Linked DNA regions of Lytechinus pictus. The protein of the gene in region 1 purifies or fractionates together with the protein of each later gene. This does not show direct contact. Links are inferred from orthologs where the notes say so. Each region holds a gene or a part of one and is shown on either strand. Other genes may lie near its edges. The genes, in order: cytochrome c oxidase subunit 6B1-like and mitochondrial intermembrane space import and assembly protein 40-like.

Region 1 (12,114 bases):
GTAATTGCTGCCTTAACTATCATGACTATAGCGTCTGGGGGTAAAAATAAAGGGCTACCTGACCCTCTTTGATTTCTCTTTAATTTTAAATCTCACTTTCATTAATTCAAATGGGAGAAGCAAAGGCCAAAGCTTAAGAATAAAAATTGACAAAAATTAAAGAATAGCGTTTAAGCCTGAGTCATATCAATTATTTTGAAAACCGGTGTTCGACAGCTTTAATTCGATCGAACATCGATGCATCGAAATTTGAAGGCGGGGAAAATCTATTCTTTTTTTTTGCTCCGGCCGGCCGTCGATGCATGCGCTATGCATGCACTACATGCACTGACGGTCTCCGCTGGCCGCGCCGGGTGAGCGTTGCAAAAGCAAATGACAGAGCAAAGTTCGTTTGTATTTTCCATGATCACAAAACACATAAAAGGCCGGGGAGCAATGCAGAATTCTTCCCAAAATATCTTCAACAATGATATTTGCAGATGATAACATATAAGTTTAAAATGAGACAATTTTAAAGACAGGAATCACGCAGAGTCGATCCGAATGATTTTCGGTCAACTAGCATTCGCAGTCCAAACTCGCACACACCAGCCCCATCCGCAGCCCCGTACACTCACTCTCCCGAAACGACAGGCGTGCTTGCCAGCGCCATCTAACAAGTGCAAACAGTGGGAAGGGCTGTAACTTGCCTGAGATTGTGTAGTTAGTTGGCGGGGTAGTTGGATCCAAAATTAGCTCCAAATAAATTGATGGGAATAAATGCGTAATTTTCTCTGGATGGTCATTTGAATTGGTATTCAATGCTGATATAACGATTGTGAGGAAAGATTATGGAATTTGAGTTCTGACGATGTTTGAAACTTACTCCTGATAATGATAATCCATTTTTTAGACACAAGAGCTTGTGATCGAAATAAATACGAATGTCTCGGATCAAGCTCTAAATTCATATAAATTATTATTGGATGTTAAATAATTACGATTTAATAAGATTTTATGGCCATACTAAAAATATTGATGATGTCAGCAAAGTATGTTATGTTCATATGGAACAATTAATAGTATTATACTGGCATTATTTTTATTTTTTTATTCCATCTCTGGACGTCTCCGAGCTCCGAGAAAAGAAGCACAATGCGCATGCGCGTTCGATGACGTCTGACATATTTTCCATTCATGAAATCAGAGCCCAAAGTTGGGCACAAACAAGCCTCAAATTGATGGAAAAAAAATCAAACATAATTTTTCTGTTTTGTCATGTACAATGTAAAATATTATTATATGGTGATATTACGATCTCAAAAGAGTTTCTACATGTTGACAATGTTCGATAATCAATCCTGACGTGATGATTTTTTTTTTTTTAAACTAGTGCACTCACTCAAGTCGATCGTCATGTGATGTCCGCCATTGAAAATTGAAACGAAATACAAACGTTTCACATCAAGCTCTAAAATCATATTAATGATTATCATATGCAAATTATTGTTAAATATTACGATTAAATCATGTATCTATGGTCATGATATTAATATTGTTCATGAAAAGCAAGATTTACTTTACGTTGATCGCATCAATTTCCGGCCATTTTCTGATTTGATTAAAGCACGGTACTGCGCATGCACGATGAATGGCGACTTCCATTCATAAATTCATCGTGCATAAATTATCTCGGCACGAGCCGGGCAGACGAGTAAGACCCGAACTATGATCGAAATAAACTTCAAATTAATGGTGAATAGGCATCATAATTACACAATCGGTTTCATTTTGGGGGAAATATAAATGAAGTAAGTAGTAGTCAAGTTGGATATTACTGTTTATTTTGATGTTTGATTGTGTGAACCAAATGAATCGGCTGGCCGACATATTTTTTTTTTCTTCGATGCACCGATTTGGCAAAATCTGCACCGGAGTTCGATGACATCGATCGAACACCGATTTTAAAATCGATTCGACTCAGGCTTAATAGCATTAGAGTAAAGTGCCCAACTATCAGACAATTAGACTATTAAAAGCATAATTGGACCAAAACAAAAAACACAGTCATTGAATTAAATAAAAATCATGTGTATTTCCGTAAGTTAACTAATACAAATGTTGAATATTATTATTAATGTCATAAAAAATAGAAATTTTGAAAAAATATGGTAAATGTCACTCATTCAATGAACAAGGCTATTTTCTGGTTTTCTGGTACTATTCCCTGTATGGCAAAATACGGTTGGCAATGTTTGGATTATATTTTCTCTTGTTTGGGGAACAAATACTTGATTTTTTTACACTGCCAGTTTACATTGCAACTTGGTTCTTAAATAAATTGAAGTCTGTTGATTATTTTTTTCTCAATTAAAAAAATAGATTGGAAAATGAAAATTTTCTTGAAATTTGACTTTCCACCAATAGAGGGCCTGCCAAAAAATATGCCCAAAATTCAAGTTTTTGAGCGCTCCAGTGAATAAAAAAATGATCCCCACATTACTAAGGACAGTGATTTTCCGCGATCGCGGAAAACGGACGGAATTCACGGAAAGGGCCTTTTGAAACGGAAATACACACAACAGGAACAGAAATTACTCCAAAATCTCAACAAAATATGAATATAAAATGGCCACAAAACCCCAGAAAACACGATCTCACTTCACTATAATCATGACAATTCACACATCGTGACTGCACTCGATATCACCACTCTCGATTGTACCCCGCGCCAGTATCCGGCTGGCCGGGCTGACGCCGGGTTGGGCTTCACATGCACACATCCTTCGAACAACACGGTTGTGTGTTGCTGCCCTCTACGTTCAAAGATGTAACAGCACGATATCGAGGTCTTAAAATCAAAAATGGCGGATTGACGAAAGTCGTTGACTGCGGATAATGATGTCCAAAAAAAAAACCAAATTATCAATGAAATTTCATTTAACCGTAAAATAATGCTAATAATGTGAAAGGTGAGGATATATTCATGTCAAGTGTGTTTGTCAAAATATTTTGTGTACCCGCATAGATCCGATTAGAACAGATTCTATTGCGTTGTTGGTACAGTGGCAGATACAAATTTTGACCAGCGCGAGTGTTTTATTGCTATTCAATGGGTAAACAGAATTGTCACTTTTCCATGTGTACAAAGTCTATGGGGAAAAGGAATTTCCGTTTTCTGACATGCTGAAACGGAATTTGAGATTTTCTGAAACGGAAAAGGCAATTTTTTTTAACGGAAAATCACTGTCCCTACATTACAAATGAAAAAATAGATTGCAACTGTATGGAAATTACAATTTTTGGTTACAAAAGTGACTGAAATTTTCTGTTTGGGAGGAGTCAAGTTTTAAAAACCTTTTTTTTTTTTTCTCCTAAAATTTTCTACACTTTTTTGTATCTCATATGGAGGGGGTATACTATAGTGAAGCAAGGTGTAGTCCAGGGGCCCGTTTCTCAACACATGGACAAGTTAGTCATATCCTTATCCACCAACCACAGAGTTAGTTCCAATCTTACTAAACCTGTTTCTCGAAAGGCTTCTTAACTAGAATACCTTGATATCGATACTATTGGTAAAAAGAGCAGACGAGACGTAGCCTTAGTCACAAAATAGCATAATTTTCAAAAAGAAAAATTATGGCAAAATTGCAAATATTGTGATGAATTAGGAAATATATTTTTTTTAAATAATAGCACAGGTGAATTATGCATCATACATACTTAGACCATGAAGACTGGAGCATTCAGTTGCACATAAAATTAAATTATGAATAATTCATTTCATGACTAAAAAATCACTTGTGGACGTTGAGATGGGTACCCCCGGGATATCCAATTTTGATATTTTACGAAAGTAAACCATAACGGTTTTATTTGTAAAAATGACGATAATTGTACAGTCTTTTACGATTCCAAGCGTCATCAAAATATAGTTTAATGAAACATTTTTAATCATTGATACCGAAACATACAATATTTGACAAATTGTATGCATAAATTAGAGATAGAATTTATCCAACTGTATAGGGGTCTGAAAACAAAAAATACAAGTTCAGTTATGGATGGCCTGACGTGGTAGAATCTTTATCGATTAAATCATTTTAATATTTCAAAATGAATGGTTTTGTGGCGTTTTACCAACAGTTTTTATAGTTTCTTTGTATTACACTTATCATTGAATGCATTAATCCACTTGTTTTGTAATGTGATTTCAACCTCTATGATTGATTACGTAAGATTGTAATTTTCAAATTTCTAGGCGCTTTTGCATGTCATAGTCTACCCACGTGATACCACTACGTCATTAAGAAAGAAGTTATGACAGGTTCAGAGGTGTCATAAATATTTAGTGAGGTTGTTGTACCCGATCTTGGTAAAGAGGGCTTCGTGAAACGGTGAGCGGACAAGTCGCTCACTATCTCCGATTTAGTCAAGAAGTTAGACTTATGACGGTGTTGAGAAACGGGCCACAGCAGATTAAGCAGAACAACAGACGAATACATGTACATGTATATCTCCACTTGAGTTCATCTCAGTCTTTATTAGTATTACTTAGCCAAACTACATGTAAAGCTGAGCCTGAGTCAAGGCTTTTTGAGATTAAAACTCATTCACTAATGCGAAGTTATTCTCCATATTATAGTCTGAAACATCGCATATAAAATATAGCATCGGTTTGCCCCTTATTATCTCTTCTCCAAGTACTGTTACAGCGGAAATTATTCTAAATCAGCCAAGGAAAAATATACACATGGAGTGTTTATTTCCAATTCGTCCTATTGCCAACTCTTCTACTATCGTTTGGTCTACCATCAGTTCGTCCACTCACCACATGGTCTACTTTCATTTAGTCTAATGCCATTCCATCTATTAACCAGATGGTCCAATAGCCATATAGTCCATATAATTATTAAACTTAAGTTTTAATTGTGCAAAATGAATGAAAAGAAAATGGGTATTAGACCAACTGGTTATTAGACAAAATGGTAATAGACGAACTGGGGATTAGACGAAGTGATGGTTGTACCAAACGGTTATTGGACCAAATGGTTGTTAGACAAAATGTTGATGGACGGAATGGCATTAGATTAAATGAAGGTAGACCATGTGGTGACTGGACGAATTGGCAATTTACCACATGGAGGACTCTTTTTGTCTCACCTGCATAGCAGAGTGAGACTATATAGGCGCCGCTTTTCCGACGGCGACGGTGGCGGCGGCGTCAACACCAAATCTTAACCTAAGGTTAAGTTTTTGAAATGACAGCATAACTTAGAAAGTATATGGACCTAGTTCATGAAACTTGGCCATAAGGTTAATCAAGTATTACTGAACATCCTGCCTGAGTTTCATGTCACAAGACCAAGGTCAAAGGTCATTTAGGGTCATGTTGGGGGATCAACATCAAAATCTTAACCTAAGGTTAAGTTTTTGAAATGTCATCATAACTTAGAAAATATATGGACCTAGTTCATGAAACTTGGACATAAGGTTAATCAAGTATCACTGAAGATCCTGCATGAGTTTCACGTCATATGACCAAGGTCAAAGGTCATTTAGGGTCAATGAACTTTGGCCGAATTGGGGGTATCTGTTGAATTACCATCATAACTTTGAATGTATATGGACCTAGTTCATGAAACTTGGCCACAAGGTTAATCAAGTATTACTGAACATCCTGCCTGAGTTTCATGTCACAAGACCAAGGTCAAAGGTCATTTAGGGTCATGTTGGGGGATCAACATCAAAATCTTAACCTAAGGTTAAGTTTTTGAAATGTCATCATAACTTAGAAAATATATGGACCTAGTTCATGAAACTTGGACATAAGGTTAATCAAGTATCACTGAAGATCCTGCATGAGTTTCACGTCATATGACCAAGGTCAAAGGTCATTTAGGGTCAATGAACTTTGGCCGAATTGGGGGTATCTGTTGAATTACCATCATAACTTTAAAAGTTTATGGATCTGATTCATGAAACTTGGACATAATAGTAATCAAGTATTACTGAACATCCTGTGCAAGTTTCAGGTCACATGATCAAGGTCAAAGGTCATTTAGGGTCAATGAACTTTGGCCAAATTGGGGGTATTTGTTGAATTACCATCATAACTTTGAAAGTATGTTGGTCTAGTTCATAAAACTTTGACATAAGAGTAATCAAGTATCACTGAACATCCTGTGCCCATTTTAGGTCACATGACCAAGGTCAAAGGTCAATGAACTTTGGCCATAATGAGGGTATCTGTTGAATTACCATCATAACTTTGAAAGTTTATGGATCTGACTCGTGAAACTTGGACATAAGAGTAATGAAGTATCACAGAACATCCTGTGCGAGTTTCAGGTCACATGATCAAGGTCAAAGGTCATGTAAGGTCAATGAACTTTGGCCACGTTGGGGGTATTTGTTGAATTACCATCATATCTCTGTAAGTGTATTGGTCTAGTTCATAGAACGTGGAAATAAGAGTAACCAAGTATCACTGAACATCTTGTGCGAGTTATAGTAGTTTTCAAAGTCAGCACTGCTGCTATATTGAATCGCGTGATGCAGGTGAGACCGCCAGAGGCATTCCACTTGTTTAATGGTGCTGAACACTTTAAAAGACCAAGTGAAAATAAATATTATAAATTGAGATTGAACATACCAAAGCAGTTAAAGTTCTAGGCCTATCAAACAACTTCTGACATTTATCTATCAAGGCTAGACCTACATGTAGATCTAACATTAGACCTAGGCCTAACATTAGATAGATCCTGCCTACTGTTATCTCGTGTGGTGCCAACCTAGCACCGCAGAACTAAGTTAAAGTTAGGCTTAACCATTAGACCAAAAGCTTCGGGGATGATTTATATGCGATCGCGCAGCTAGAGCTGAAAATTACTGATAATACCCTTCAAGACATGCACATAATTCTGTATAAGCACTTGTCCTTTCCCTTTTCAATTTTATTTTTATTCTCTATTTTCCCCCTTTTCTTTCTTTCTCTTTTTCTCCCTATTCCCTTTATTTCCATCCCATTCTTTTCTCTTTTTCTTTCTTTTCTTTTCTTTTCCTCTTCCTTTCTTTTTTCTTCTTTTTCTCGTCCTCTCTCACCCCTTCCTTTTAATTTCCCATCTCCATTTCCCTATTTATCCCTCTTTTCTCTCTTTTCATTTTGCGTAAATAAAAAAGGGTTATTTCTTTCTCTCCTTCCTTTTTCTTTTTCCTCTTCTTTCCCCCCCCCCCCTCTATTATATCTCTTTTTTTCTCTTTCTCTCCTTTGTTTTATTTCTCCCTTTCCCTTCTTTTCCTTTCATTTTCTTTCCCATTTCCTTTTTAGGGGGTAACCCCCTGGATCCGCGCCTGTTTGAGCTTTGATAACATCCAATATTTGGATGGTGACGTTAAAGGTCTAGTCCCAGACAAAAATAATCATATCTGATTGATACACGTTTTTAAAAACTCAATCACACCCACTAGGTCCTGATGTGCAACCACAAAAAGTGTTTATACCCCCCACTGCGACGCCCCCTTATGTATGCCACTTGCCAGTGATCATAATCATTAACACCATCACCATCATCATCATGTGGTAGGACTGTATGGTAGCCTATCATTTTCTTAGATAAAAACTGTAATCATACTGAGATTCTAAACAGTCTTTGATCTAGACTCCAACTTATTATCTCTTAACACTGTATGCAATCCTTAAATCTGCATGTAAAGTTATATACATGTAACAAACAAACTAAAAAAAGTTAAAAGCTCTGGCCACACTGGTAAAAATGTTATGATTATGCTTGTGTTTACCTCAAACAGATGGCCAACCTCTCTCATGGCGAAATTGGGACTCGGAATGTTGTTGTTATCTTCTGGATACCATGCTTGACCAATCCATGCAGCTCAAGGTATTGTGCCATGTTCATCCGGAAGTATCAGTGAAACTTTTCTTGGTCTCTCTCCAATTCTCTGTATAGGACAGAATATTCTCCGTGTTCATCTCTCTTTTTGTTGATGTCGTGAATCCATTATCTCTTTGAGAGAACAACGCATGAACACGCTATTACAACAGCTTCATCTACTGCCTTCGTGGAGGCTGCCATTTTCTTTGCCTTTGGTTGTCATGGAAACATCGGACGGTTTTTGCCTGCCGGATGGCATCCGAGCACGGCTTTTAATGCCGTGCCGTGGGACAGTGGAAACGGGAAAACGGCATACCGTGCCGTATGCTGTGCCGGAAGGCCTATCATTAGTCTTTTATTAGAAGTCTAAATCCCCAGAAACAACGTTATATCTAACTGTTATGTTACTACGACTGAATTTACTAAAGCGTTGTTGGATCCAAACTGAGTGCTGTCTGTAGGCCCTAACGTTAACGAAGTTAGAATCTAGATGTACTATTTTCGGCCTTATATTTTAGCCTTATTTTCTTGTCTTCTAATATTTTCTAGGGCTCAGTTCTACAATATACAAAATGACACTACATGTAAGGCCTAGATCTATTTGTTGTTAATAAGTTGCTGACCCGACCACATTCAAGAATGGCCAGATCAATCCAGTTCCTTTAGAGTTGACTGTTGTCTTGATCACCTCTTTTCAGAGTAATACACATAGACCTATGTGTGCGATTTTGCATTTAACACGTAAACTCCCACAGACCATCACCGCAGGCGATCGGTCGCTTGATCAGAAGATTTGTGGGCAATTATGTAATATATCTGGGCTGTGATTGGCCAGAAGTGAAAAATGCCGTGTGCCGTTCTCTGAAAATGGCTTGATGATCGATCTGGAAATCCGGCAAATAACGCTGTATGGCACAACACGGCACGGCACCGGTGAAGTGGGAAAAGTTTCACAGGATTTAGTGGTGATCGATTTTTTGTTGTTGCTGTGCCGGATTGCTGTGGCCCCGTGTATGGTCGCCGTGCTAGATGCAGCTTCTTGTTGCTTGGTGGCCATTATATGGAATGGATGACCCTTGTACTGTGTTTGGCACACATTATCACAAGCAAACACAAAGGGAAGATGAGACACTTTGTTTGGTGATTTTACTGTTAGGAAAGATTGGATACTTTAGGGGAATTTGTGTATTAAAATGAATACGAATTCCCCCAAAATGTCCAGTCTTCCCCTTGTAGTGCCTTGTTTGTGGTCACATAGATCTTCCAAGCTTCAAGATCCAGGATGTCTTTTAGTTGCATGTTGTTTATTTCAGACCCTTTGTAGGGAGACACTGCACAACAGTACGAGAATACACCAAGGGCCCATTTTATATAAAAGAGTTTGCAACTAATGTACCTAACACATTTGCCATTGTGGCAACTACATGTACCATGGTAACAGGGCTCAGCAGCCTATCAAAATCAAGCTTTCCATGGTAGTTACACTCATGGTACAGATGGTGGCCGTACTTTACATGTATGTAAAGAATTATAAAGAACAAGTTCAGACCACTGTACACGGTAGGTTGCAGATAATGTATGCCTGTCTTGTTTCGCAAAATGGTAGGGGAGAGATGATTAATTTTCCTCCTTGGCTGCAAGATCAACATTTGAAAATTAAGGAAAAAAAATACTTTGATCTATTCATCTGTTTATTTACCTTTTCCTCTCTCTTTCCATTTACTCTGTATCATTCTAAATAGCACAATATGTCGGAATTCAAGGAAATTCTTGAGAACTACAGGACTGCACCTTTTGATGCCCGCTTCCCCAACACAAACCAGACCAAGAACTGCTGGCAGAACTATGTAGATTTCCACCGTTGCCAGAAAAAGAAGGGAGATGACTACGAGCCTTGTGAATACTTCAGGAGAGTCTACAAGTCATTATGTCCACTTGCATGGGTGAGTATAATTATCTTAATGATATATATGGACAGGCCTCGATCTATGATCTATTATATTACATCTATTGCCCAAATTTGATCATATAAATCAGATATCAGCCAAGCTTTATATGAGTCTATTAAACTGCTGTTACACATGGACATTTCATTGTCTGCTATTAAACATGTGTCTGATTTCAAGATGTTGGTATAAAAAAATCATTTTGTTTTGTGAACAGATACATGTATGTAATTTTAGATAATTAGGTAGAGTACAAAATGATGCTTGTTGCATATTGACTTTGATGTGTATGGTGTTCAATGCAATTCCTGTGAAGTGCCAGCTCAATGCCATGTACATACATGTACATGGCGCTGTACACTGTAAAGTGCAATTCAATCCAAGTTCCTTGTGTTCACAAGCTAAATATCTCTTTTACATAAAAAAGTGGTCATTTTGCCTCCAAAGAAGATTCTGCTAGGATCGAAAGCTTAGGCCCCTTTTGACTCTCTAATTTACTCCATTGGCTCTCTTTTATTAGATAAGCAGTTTTCAGCAGCTTCTTTCTGCCATAAAAAAATTAGTAGTAGAAATCCTCTTATTTCTACCCCCTCCACCTCCCCCCCCCCCCACCTCTTTTCCCCTCAAAGATATGGTATACTTCTTATTCTGCCAGAAGCACACATTTCTGCTTTTCCAAAGTAATTTTACCCCATTATGAACTGTGGTACTGCTAAGCAAAAAAAAAAAAAGTTCACAGAATTTAATGAAATTTAATAAGCAAAATTATGGAAACTGTAAAGAAGTAATATTCACTCAAAGGTTTTTCTCAGGAAAATAATTAGAGTGTATTAAGCAACTGAAAATCAGAAAAATTACTGAAAAATACCCATCCATTTTGTGTGGTCCCTCATGTTTTTTCCTGTGTTAATGCATATACATGTAGCTACACTAGGAAAAGCGTGTGGAAAATTAATTGAATACAATTTCAAGCAAGCCTGAATTACTTTGGTTAAACTTTGTTCTAAAGATAAGCATTTTGGCATGTGACAGAGATTTCTGGGGCCCGTTTCATGAATAATAATAATAATAATATAGGGTATTTATATTGCGCACATATCCACCTTGTTAGGTGCTCAAGGCGCTCCTACATTACCCATTACTCATTCCACATGAAGAGTTACAACTGTTGTAACTTTGCCATTATGGCAACTACCATGGATTGGTAACCTTGATTTTGATTGGCTACTGATCCCTGTTGCCATGGAAGTTGCCATAATGGCAAAGTTCCAACAGTTGTAACTCTTTATGAAACGGGCCCCAGTATTGCTTCCAATCATTTCCTATCGAAATTAGATCTCTATACCAGAACTTGAACTTAGCTTTAATACAAATGTTTTTCAGATCTAAAGACTCTCCTTGTACCCTTTCCCAACAACGCATTGGTACATGTAGTTTTCTCTTTCATCTTTTCTTTACATCCTCATCCTCATGACACGAGAACATTCCTCATTCCACAATCACAAAATTGTTTACTGTTTTTGGTATGCTGCATTAGCAACAGCACCAGCTACAACAGCTATGGTGAGATGAAGCTTGCAAGCCTAGCAAGCGAAAGCTTACCAAAAAACAGGTAAATTTTGTGATTGTGAATTAACAATTTTGTCATGTCTGCTCACAAATCGGGGCCCCGTCTTACAAATAGTTATGATTGATCCGATCAATCTCAAGTATATGGAAATCCATCAATGTCAGAATTTTTCTTTTGGAAATTTGCTCTATGTCCTTTGAAAACAAAGAGAAGCATACTGAATTGTCAAGAAAATATTTTGAACAAACATATATTTTAGATGTTGACGTTGCTGGCTTTCCGTAGTTGCGATTGATCTGATCAATCGTAACTCTTTGTAAGACGGGCCCCAAATGAACCTTTTCAGTGATCCTCATGACAAACCATTGATCCCTTTTATCGTTGTTTTAATACAATGAATCTGTGTGATCTTGGTTTACAGGTTGAGAACTGGGATACTCAGAGAGAAGAAGGGACATTTGCATCCAAGATATGATGTGCCACTTGACCTGTAGATACCATCAGATGTTTATATTCTACTAGAGTTTAGCACCGTTGTTCCTGTACCTCTATGAGTTGACAAGCCAAAGTGAAAAACACATTCATCATCATCTTAATCTGACGTCAGAAAAATTTAATGCATCGGACTAATTATCTTGATTCTAGAACATTATGTGCATACACGCACCAGACCATAATCCTTATTGCCCTATTTTGGAAATATATAACTCTAAAATCAATCCTAAGT
Region 2 (11,447 bases), on another chromosome or scaffold:
TACCAAAAAAATGAAAGAAGAGAGGGAAGAAACAAAGAAAGATTGAAAAGAAAGAAGGAAAGAAAGATAGGAAGAAAACAGAGGAAGAAAGCTAAAACTATCATGATAAATAATTTATCAGTATCTTTTTGGCTCAATTAAAATAGCTACGAAAGAAAGTCAGAAACCAAGTGTATCAACACACACATAAATGCATATGTGGGGCTAATATGTATTCAGACGATATCACCCGAAACCCGATCTGTTTGAACCAAACAGAAGTGAAAATTTCTCCTTTTACTGCTTACAAATGACAGAGTTACTCCAATTTTTAGGAAATATGGACATTATAAGAGCCTTTCATGAGTATGAACCGTGAATTTTGATAGTTCTGTGAGAGATTTCTGCCAGAGTTTAGCAAAGTTTCGTTCGCGCAGCCAGTAGAGAATTTACCACATGGGTTGTGTGGCTGGCTACATGTACACTGTATCTACTCTAGTAACACTTACGTGCAATTCATTCTGTGTGTATTCTGTGTGTGAATGACAGAATTTGTCGGGGGGAAATGGTTTGCAGTGAATTTGACCATTTCTGGAAAAGTTATTGGCCCAACAATGGTTTTCATTACTGGTCATGTCGGACCCTTAAAATCTTGCTATTTTTGGAAAAATTACTGGCCCGACAATGATATTTTTTACTGGTCATGTCGGACCAGTAAATCTTCCTATTTTTGAAAATCTACCGGCCCGACAGCGATTTTTACCGGTCTGGGACCGTCGGACCGCCGCTAGTGTCGAGCCCTGTAATAACATACAGATATTCATCACCATGAAACAGCACTGAAATTGATTGAATTTCTGATTGAATCAATATGTCCTGGTGATTGGTCTCATTACTTATAGCTGCACTCATTTATTACTCTTGCATTATAAAAAAAATAATTTGAACTAAATTTTGTCAAATCCCAGATAAAATATGAGGTTTAGTAAACAAAGTAAAGTATGGGGGTACTGCAAGAAACTTGCATTCAATTGCAAGTCAATTTTACATCCTATAATTATTCATAATTCTTGAAATAATTGAACGATGGATGTTCCAAGCAATAACAAAAATAATTTGCAATTGAAATTAACAACTGAATGCACATGAAATAGGCTCCTGCAGCAAACCCCAAGAAGTATTGGCCATATTCTCCACAGTGCCAATAATGTGACGCAGCTAAGAAGTGGAAATTGAGACACTCTACAAATTTTGGTGACTGGTTTGGAGAATGTAATTAGGGTTATTCCATATAATGCCATAGCGAAGCAATTGCATTTCAAAAGAATGCCATATCTTCTTCACCGAGCAGGGAAGTCATATCAGCACCAAGTTATTTTTTGTCGGTGACTTCAACAGCAGTATGATTCCTATTCATTGGATAAATCAATTATAACAGGTAAAAAAGGTATAAAAGTCCAGAGCTTTTTCCCTCTTCTATCCTTACACGTTAGCTGACATTCTCCTTGTCCGTTTCACTTTTTGCTTGGTCCTTTTCAATCTCTTCTTGAGACGCTTCTTGTACAATGTCCGCAGATTCACTAGGATCTGACTTCTCGTTCATGGGGTACAGTTCAGGGTAGGTGACCATGCATTCCTGCATCTTCCGGAAATTGTCTATGCAGTCAGACCCCTTGGGTTCGGCCATGCTGTAGTGGAAGCAGGAGAAGGCCTCCCTGAACTCCATACCACAGGGACCACTGGCCATGCCTCCAAGACAAGGGCAACTCCAGTTGATATCCCCATTAGCAAGGATCAAACCTGTCAAATACAATAAACAGTGTCCGTAAAACCTACAAAATTGTAATACTAGTACATGCATTCAATTTTAAAGTACAAAAAACATTATCTTGCCTTAAAGTTTGATAAGTAAAATGGAATTCTTAACATATATTTCATATAGTCCCTAGTCATTACATTTATTTTGAAAAACTCTTAAATGCTAACTGGCAAGGATAAAAGAAAAAATAACGTCCCCATAAGTTGCTGAAATTACACTTTTCACCGCTACATATAAATGAAATTGAACTGGCCTACTTATTTTCCATATTTCCTTGAAATTCTTTTGATTTAATTGGGAATTATCAAGAGAATCAGAGAGTCTCCCATCTTTCTTGACAATGAAAGATTGTTTTCAATCGATGTCACACTCGATCTACCTACATGAAAGTCTACATGTGGGACTACAATATGTACAATATTGATCTGTAGAATTTCAGCAACATTTTGGGAAGTGTTTTTTTTTTCTTCAATACGGTCACACAGTTGTAGTAGGAAAAAATGAACCTCTTAAAATGTTGTTAGAATGACGTTTAAAATTTTGACTTCGCCCTAATTTCTAGTTTACATCTTACTGCTGGAATGCCCACAAGCTGCCATTACAGATAGTTTACTTTCAAACAAATATCATTAGCTAGGATTTTTAAGGGTGTGGTAACACAAAATATCATGGACATGGTTGCAAACATTTGTTTACATAATTCCTTTTTCCAGATAATGTATCCTTTCTGTACCATCAGTCTAGAAGCAATATGGTAACGTCACATCAGTAAAGTCTTGGGTGATTTAGTCGAGTATCAACAAGATATTATGTACCTTCTGGTTCTTCTTCCTCAGCAAGATATTTGAGTTCCTCCTTGATGGGGGTTTCATGGTCCTCCTTTGTGACGAAGAGAACTTGGTCCTTCCCTGATAATAATAAAAAAAATAATCACAAAGATCAACGTAAGAACACAGAAACATGTCTACAATAAGTTTTGTTTGTACAAAAAGCCATTGTATATTACTGATCATCACTGCTTGTACTTGCAGTGATTTACAAAAGTAAGATTGGTATTTAGAAGGGATTTGTAATGCGCCAAATCCGCTCTGCACAGTGCCCAAGGTGCAATGGAAGAGAAAGAGAGAGAAAAGTAACGGCGAAGGACAATGAGAAACAAGATGGCGGCGTAAGCATCGGGCAAGTCTCCCCCGTCTTTTCATATTTTTTTCATTTTTTTATGAATTCTTGTTTATAAATGAAATTGATAGCGTAGAAATGTCGGAAATGAAGTTGTATCCGATTTACATGATTTAAGGCTAGATCTTATAAGTAGAAATCTCGGGGGCCAAAGTTTCAGGTTTTTTGGCGGTATACGCAGATAAATGGGATGGAATCCCAGGCTCCGTTGGAGAGTAAGCATACGTTAGTAAAATATTTTTACTCTCAAGGAGCCTCTTGGCTACCCAGACCGGCTTACACTGCTTTCAGTATAGGTGGCAACTGTCTTTGGCAAAACAAAGCCTAAAGTAAAGGTATGATCTAATGATCATGATGTTTTTGTTTATCCGAAAACTGTTCGGTTTCGACTCCCCATATAAAACTAAGTCAGGCGTTTAACGGAATTGAAAATAACCGTGAATATATAAATAATGCAGCACTCGGCTACCGACGAGTGACGTGACATGATTTGCTCAGCCAGGCCCACCTTACCTTAATGCCCGTTGTTTTTAAACGTTGTTAATGCACGTCCGCCCAGTACATGTATCTATCGCGCTCCAGCTACATGTAGCTCCACGCACTTCAGACTCAGTGGCCCGTATTCTGAAGTCGGGTTTAACTTAAACTCAGGTTTAAAGTTGTGGTTTAAGTATGGACAGCCAATTGTTACATAAACCACTAACGGTAGAGATATCATACTTCAGCCCATTCTGCTCTCAAATCATTCATAATTGTGTAAAAAGTACGTATAAATAGATGATTGTCTTCACCATCGATGAATCAGGAAAGAGCACAGTAAACATCACCCAAGGGTTCATTACATGCTGCCGCGCACAGAAAAATCAAGCCATAGAAGTCATGTGTTGTGGACACCAGAAGTGAGATCCCATCACGCGAGACCCACTAGCTAGTTAGAAATCCACTGCCACACGCGGTTCATGGTGCGAGGTTAGTATACTATTAATACCACTCACACTAATAGTAATACGAGGTACTAGCCTCGCAATACGTGTGAGTGAGTAAACATAGGAAATGTACAATTACAACTTAATAAAAAAAATGATACATTTGGCTTCCCATACTTAAACCACAACTTTAAACCTTAGTCTAAGTTACACCTGACCTCAGAATACGGGCCAGTGAAACAAGCTGAGGCTGCCTGAGCGCTAGCGCGCCAGGGCCCAGGGATCGGGAAGGGGACGGGCCGTTGGACAGGGGCTAGGCTGGGGCAGCCGGCAACCGCGGGGAAGTACGGCGTAATCATCATCATGAATGATGAAGTAGATGATGAAGAATGTTGCGAAGAAATACTTCAGAGTTCAGAATACACCCTTTTCAAATCATGCTTTAAAAACATAAAAGAGAATAATCTGAGAACATTATACATACCCTCTTGGCGACAATACGACATTGTTGTTTATCTAATTCTCCCCTAATTCTGTAAGAATTCGACTTGTATTTAGACGCAGCAGCTAACAGTGATGATGTAAGAAATACCTGCACACACATGTGTTACCGTAAATAGTTTTTGTTCAGGAAAATGGTTATATCTTATTACTAAATCCAGATGATAATTTCTTATTATGTAGTAATGGTGCCATTTTATGTATTTAATGGATTTCAGTGTAATGATAATCGATTCTTATGATCATAAAATGCTGGGGCTGGAAATTGATTTCTTATCATTATGCATAGATTTTATCATATTTAGTGAATGGGCTGCTGATCAAAAGACCATTACACTATTGGTAGCTCGAATCGAAATTGAATGGAAAGCAATGGTGCGAGTCGCCACGTATACGCCGCATCCCGGCCGGTCGACCGTACGCCGTATCGTATACCGTTTGTTGGCATATGACCAGACCATAATGTGTAACCGTCTGGTCGACCGATCGTAAATTGTTTAATTTGAGTAGTTTAAAAGAAAATAAAAATATATTCAGGGGATCAGATAGTGTACTGGGACTAGAAGATCAAACTGTATTCACAACCAGACGTCAGTTTTAGGAAAATGGGAAATCCCACGACAAAGGGAAACGCACTTCTACTACCCCTCAGCACGAACTCGAAGGAAACATCCCCGGGCCAGACCGGCGGAGGTAAGCAAGTGTTTTCCTGCTACTAGGACTAGGAGCTAGTATACTAATACCTACCTGGACAAGTTAGTCATATCTTTATCCACCAACCACGGAGTTAGTTTCAATCTTACTAAACCCGTTTCACGAAAGGCTTCCTAACTAGAATACCTTGATATCGATACTATCGGTTGAAAGAGCAGACGAGACGTAGCCTTAGTCACAAAATAGCACAATTTTTTAAAAGTAAAAATATGATAAAACTGCAATTATTGTGATTAATTTGGAAATACATTTAATCAAAATAATAGCAGAGGCAAAATATGTACCATGCATACTTAAACCATGAAGACTGGAGCATTCATTTGCTGAGAAAATCAAATTATGAATAATTCATTTCAATTTCATGACTAAAAACTTACATGTGGACATTGAGATGGGTATCCCCGGGATAGTAGATTTGGATAGTTTACGAAAGTAAACCACAGTTGTTTTCTTTGTGATAATTATGAGTTTATTAATGGTTCCAAACATCATCAAAATATAGTTTAACATAAATTTTAAATGTTTACATACCGAAACACAAGATTTGACAATTTTTTGCATAAATTAGAGATAGCATTTATCAAAAATGTTGATAAGTGTCTGAGAACGACGAATACGAGTCCAGTTATGGATGGCCTGACGTGGTAGAATCTTTATCGATTCAATTATTTTACTATTTCAAAATGAATGGTTTTGTTGCGTTTGACCAACAGTTTTTATAGTTTCTGTGCATTACAAAAATTATTGAATGATCTATCACACCTGTTTTGTGATGTTATTTCAACTTCTATGAATGATTACGTAAGATTATAATTTTCAAATTTCGAGGCACTTTTGCATGTCATAGTCTACCCACGTGATGCCACTACGTCATTAAGAAAGAAGTTATGACAGGTTCGGAGGTGTCATAAATATTTAGTCAGGTTGTTGTCCCCGATCTTGGCAAAGAGGGCTTCGTGAAACGGTTAGCGGACAAGTAGCTCACTATCTTCGATTTAGTCAAGAAGTTAGACTTATGACGGTGTTGTGAAACGGGCCCCTGAATACTAAAACCTCGCAATACGTGTGACTCTGTGATCGTGAGTGGCTGAAGGCAGGCCTAAAAAACTTAGGCTGGAGGCCAAGCCGAAGGCTTTACTCCCTTTACTGTGCGGATTTTTTACCAGATAAGACAATTATTTTCAGGGAGTTTGAGATCAATATATTATTTTGACTTGTAAATTGTATAAACTATAATGTGAGGCAAATTAAAAAACAAACTTTCACAATGCACAATTTGAAAGTTTGATTTTGAACTTTGATCACACTCACAGACATCTTGACATTGCATCAATCATCATGCATGATCTGTCAGATGCAAATATTTTTTTCTGAATTTCGGAAGCGGATTGGCTGGAACTATTTGTGTCTCTGTGTGTCACTGTAAGATCGATAGATCTTTGTGTCATACAATAATTGCTTCACTCCCAATCCCAGACCATGCAGGCCCGGGTAGCCAGGCGGCTTCTTGAGAGTAAAAATCATTAACTAACGAGTAACGTAGGCTTACTCTAAACGAAGCCAGGGAGTCCTCCCTATTCATCTGCGTGTACCGCAAAAAACCCTGAAACTTTCGCCCCCGAGATTTCTACTTTCCTTCTAAAAGATCTAGCTCTAAATCATGTACATTAACGCGTCCATAACATTGGGGAAGTACAATAAGAAAAAAGATGGCGGCGTAAACATCGGGCAAGTCTCTTCCGTCTTTTCACAATATTTTTTCATTTTTTTAAATGAATTCTTGTTTAAAAATAACAACGAGAGCGTAGAAATGTCGGAAATGAAGTTTTATCCCATGTACATGAGATCTTTTAGAAGGAAAGTAGAAATCTCGGGGGCGAAAGTTTCAGGGTTTTTTGCGGTACATGCAGATGAATAGGGAGGACTCCCTGGCTTCGTTTAGAGTAAGCCTACGTTAGTAAATGATTTTTACTCTCAAGAAGCCGCCTGGCTGGGGGGGGGGGGGGTACTCGACCAAAAAAGTGGTAGGTATGTGCCACGGGCGAGACAAAAAACGGGGGCTGTGGAGCGGGCTTATTGTAAAGAGGAGGGTCCTCAGAACCGAACGGCTTCGGAACTACAAATGTTTGTGAAAACTGGGGTCCTTGGAACGGGTCGCCTGCGTGTGAGTGCATATGCATCCCTATGGAATGGGCATACGTGCATGCAGCTAGTACGGGTGCCGGGTGCGCTTGCGCAGAGGCGATGGTCGGACAGCGATCTGCGGCCGCTTTTCACCAAAAATGCAGCTAATTGTAGCGGATCATTGCAGCCGGAACGGCGTAACGAAATATACGGTATGCGAAGCTTTGGAACTGATTTCTTTCTTCTTTCTCAATAAGAAGAAAATGCTATGCTTTGGAGCGGCTTTCTTTTTTTTTCTCAATAAGATAAAAATGCTATGCCTTGGAACGTAAATTTGAGTGTAAAAAGGGGGGTCCTCTCCGCAGCACCTACCCACAATGCATTATACATGTATACTGAGTGCCCCCCCCCCCCCCCCCCCGGGCATGCAGGGAGCCAAGCAATGCGCAACAGAGTGCATTGCAGTGTGAGACAATCTTTTTTTTCAAACGTGGTCATTTGTTGGTGCAACTGCAAGGAATAATGTTGCTAACTAAAATTGATAAACGCTTTTGGTCATAAGCAGATAAGAGAAATGGCTACATATATAATAGTCGAGCATTGTATTACCGCCTTGCCGCCGACCACTAGTATCATGATTCCGGATGCGCCATTTACTGCGTACAAACACGATTTTGTGGCGTATGACTTCCGCAGTTTAATTTCAGAGAGCAATAAATGGAACAAGATTTACAAAAACAAGTCGAAAAAAATCAAACTTTTACCTTGTATCTCCAAAAAGACAGAAAATGCTTAGAATTAAAAATATCGTAACATACTTTTTGTATTTTTCTGTTGGAAATATGGGCCTGATTTGCCGAATTTCAATCTCGTCCATGCCTTTGATCGAATGTTAAAGGTGTGGTGTACTATTTGTTGGTGATCGTTGACAGTTAGACTCAAGGTATACCGTGCGTGAGGTTTACAATGTGTATTGCCATCGACAGCGCATCGATAGAACATAAGCATAATATTGGAAAGAGTGATGGAACATGCAGCTTAAAAGAAATTAAAATTAGTTAGCACAAATCTATTGCCAACATGTTTAGGGTTGGTTAAGGTTACCTTAGGCAATGGTTCGTGTACGCTCCACTACAATACACAGTCTACATACACTACTGCTACATTACACGAAAGTGATGAACATCAGGTTCATCCCATAGGAATTGGTCCGTCAATTCACTCTCTGTACACTTTTTGTCATAAATAAGCATAATTGATGCAAAAACATGAACTTACATATATATGTAGATGTACTCCAGTGATCAGCAACTACATGTACATCACTCCTTTTTCATTCTTCTATCAGTCTAAAAATTGATGATGTAAACCATGTAGGGGAGATTGGGGTTAGTTGGAATGTGGGGTAAGTTGAAACATTGTAATTTTCTTTAACACTTATTGCCATTAGCAACAGCCGTCCACCATATTACAGACAACACATGTGCAACAAGCCTGGTGAAGTTAGAAAGAAATGTTTGTTTTTTGTCTAACCTGCATAGCAGAGTGAGACTATAGGCGTCGCTTTTTCGCCACCCCGCCTAAGGTTAGTTTTTGAAATGACAGCATAACTAAATTTAGAAAGTATATGGACCTACATGTAGTTCATGAAACTTGGACATAAGGTTAATCAAGTATTACTGAACATCCTGCTTGAGTTTCAGGTCACATGACCAAGGTCAAAGGTCTTTAGGGTCAATGAACTTAGACCATGTTGGGGGAATCAACATCAAAATCTTAACCTAAAGTTAAGTTTTTGAAATTTCGTCAAAACATTGAAAGTATATGGACCTACATGTAGTTCATGAAACTTGGCCATAAGGGTAATCAAGTATTACTGGATATCCTGCATGAGTTTCAAGTCACATGACCAAGGTCAAGGGTCATTTAGGGTCAATGAACTGTGACCAAGTTGGGGGTATTTGTTGAATTACCATCATACTCTGTAAGTGTATTGGTCTAGTTCATAAAACTTGGACATAAGAGTAATCAAGTATCACTGAACATCTCATGCATGTTTCAGGTCACATGACCAAAGTCAAAGGTCATTTAAGGTCAATGATCTTTGGCCATTTTGGAGGTAATTATTAGATTGTTGTCATAACTTTCAAACTTCAAAGTTTATACAATGTAGATATAGTTTATTAAATGTGGATATAGGGGTAATCAAGTATCACTGACAAGTCTTAGGTCGCATGATCAAGGTCAAATGTCATTTATTGTCAATGAATATAGTATTGTATCATTATATGAATTGTGTTTTTTTATGAATAATTATGTTATAATAGTTTTCAAAGTCAGCACTGCTGTTATATTGAATCGTGTGATGCAGGTGAAACTGCCAGAGGCGCTCCACTTGTTTCACCTTCTGAGTATTTTTTTTTTCTTTCAGAAATTTTTTATTATCTCAGAGAAGTTTATACTGGTAGATCAAGTTGGTCACCTTGGGCCTAATAGACACTTGTACCTGTAACAAGGCAAGCTACAAAATAAGGTTGTTAATATGCCATGATGAAGTCCCTTTTTCATGCTGTAAGCATGGAGCTATTAAGAGAGCTCTATGCTGTAAGCTTGTAAATGTCACATGGGCCTCTGGGGTTAGTTGGAACAAAATTGAAGGTGCTATTTGGAACAGGAAATGTGTTAACTGCAATATAAGAAGTTGCCAAATTGATTACCCAATTTGTATTTTTGTTTTACGTGCTAGGTGCATTTTATTGGGTACGGTACCACACTTTGTTTGTATCTCATGTTTGACAACAATGTTCATTAGTTTTTAGCATAATTTACCCTTTCATTCATTCAGTTCTGACCTTTAATTTTTATTGTATGGTATAGTTAAATACTTCAAAGTACAGTTAGAGGTGTGTGTTCCTATAATAATCCCCAACTTTGCCCCTACCTAATGAGTAATTAGATTTTGGCACCATACATGTACATTTGTCATGAAAGCCACTATTTATATTTCATATACAGTATCAGCCTCCATATTCATTTTATTACTGAGTTACAGTTAAAAAACTACTTTGCATAAATATTTATCTGATTATAGTAATTAATGTAATAAAAAATTGATGCAGAAGTAATAATAACGGTATATTTACCCAGGGTAGCCAATTCAGTTCTGAAAACTGTTCTCCCAGTGGGCCCTGCTATTATCATTACCTGGCTAAGCTAGGCTACATGTACCTACCGTATTCAGGTGCACACAGCTTTTTGAGGAATTACTTCCTGCCGGTACCCATTTACCTCACCTGGATCGAGTGCAGCACACTGTGAATGAATTCCTTGCTGAAGGAATTTCCGCCATGGCTGGGATTTGAACCCACGACCCTCTGTTTCAAAGTCTAGAGACTAATTCGCTGGGCCATGACGGTCCATGTCAAGTACATCAAACTGCTGATCAATACCCTTTAATAATTGCTTTTAAAATCAAACGCACACAAATATGCAGAATTCTCGTATACAGTCTCCCAGTGTGAGTGGCTGTATATCATGTGTAATATTAGAACACATAAAGTTCAACAAATCAGAATACACATCTCTAATATTTTGAACTTGAAAAAATAAGCAAATAAGCTAAAACCATGTTATAGTTGTAAGTAGTTTTAGTATAATTCTTAATTTACCATGCAGTGTTCCAACTTACCCCATACCATGCTCCAACTTACCCCGTAAGTGGGGTACATGTAAGTTGGAACACTTGAGATGGTCTTGTTCAAGGTGGATTTTTTCAGTAACCATCATAGATTTAAAGAATTTATGGGGTACATTTGTAGTCCTTAGATATATGCTTTAAGCTGATATATTGATTATATTGATCTATTTAGATTTGACAGCCATTTTTGTCAGAAATGTTCCAACTTCCAACTAACCCCAATCTCCCCTACCTATTTCTCCAACATAAATTCACCGTCGATTTGAAAATGTCACAATCACAAGAATGTGTGGCCGGCGGCCGCGGCAATACCTGCGATTGTGAATGCAATGTGTTAAAGCATGGACCTTGGTTAAAGCATACAGTAGTGTAGTGGTAGTGATATCATGGACTAGTAGGTCCATGGTTAGGTTAAGGTACAAGGTTATAGAATGGTGTTTCAGCGGGGCGATTTGTCTCAAGTGCCATGTTGACCTGGGGCCTGTTTTATAAAGAGTTACAACCCGGG

What was found.
Region 2: the proteins of cytochrome c oxidase subunit 6B1-like (region 1) and mitochondrial intermembrane space import and assembly protein 40-like purify together in Homo sapiens (co-immunoprecipitation; 3 studies listed by BioGRID and IntAct, with this or other methods). This does not show direct contact. The link is inferred for Lytechinus pictus from reciprocal best matches to the Homo sapiens genes COX6B1 and CHCHD4.

What each region holds. Positions count from the first base shown.
Region 1 is NC_087254.1:36,809,593-36,821,706, reverse strand, and holds the start of cytochrome c oxidase subunit 6B1-like, read left to right. Parts: upstream 1-7,266; 5' UTR 7,267-9,619; coding exon 9,620-9,814; intron 9,815-11,808; coding exon 11,809-11,862; 3' UTR 11,863-12,114. UniProt on the Homo sapiens protein: Component of the cytochrome c oxidase, the last enzyme in the mitochondrial electron transport chain which drives oxidative phosphorylation.
Region 2 is NC_087247.1:23,671,309-23,682,755, forward strand, and holds the start of mitochondrial intermembrane space import and assembly protein 40-like, read right to left. Parts: upstream 4,817-11,447; 5' UTR 4,740-4,816; intron 4,496-4,739; 5' UTR 4,410-4,495; coding exon 4,388-4,409; intron 2,707-4,387; coding exon 2,614-2,706; intron 1,780-2,613; coding exon 1,469-1,779; 3' UTR 1-1,468.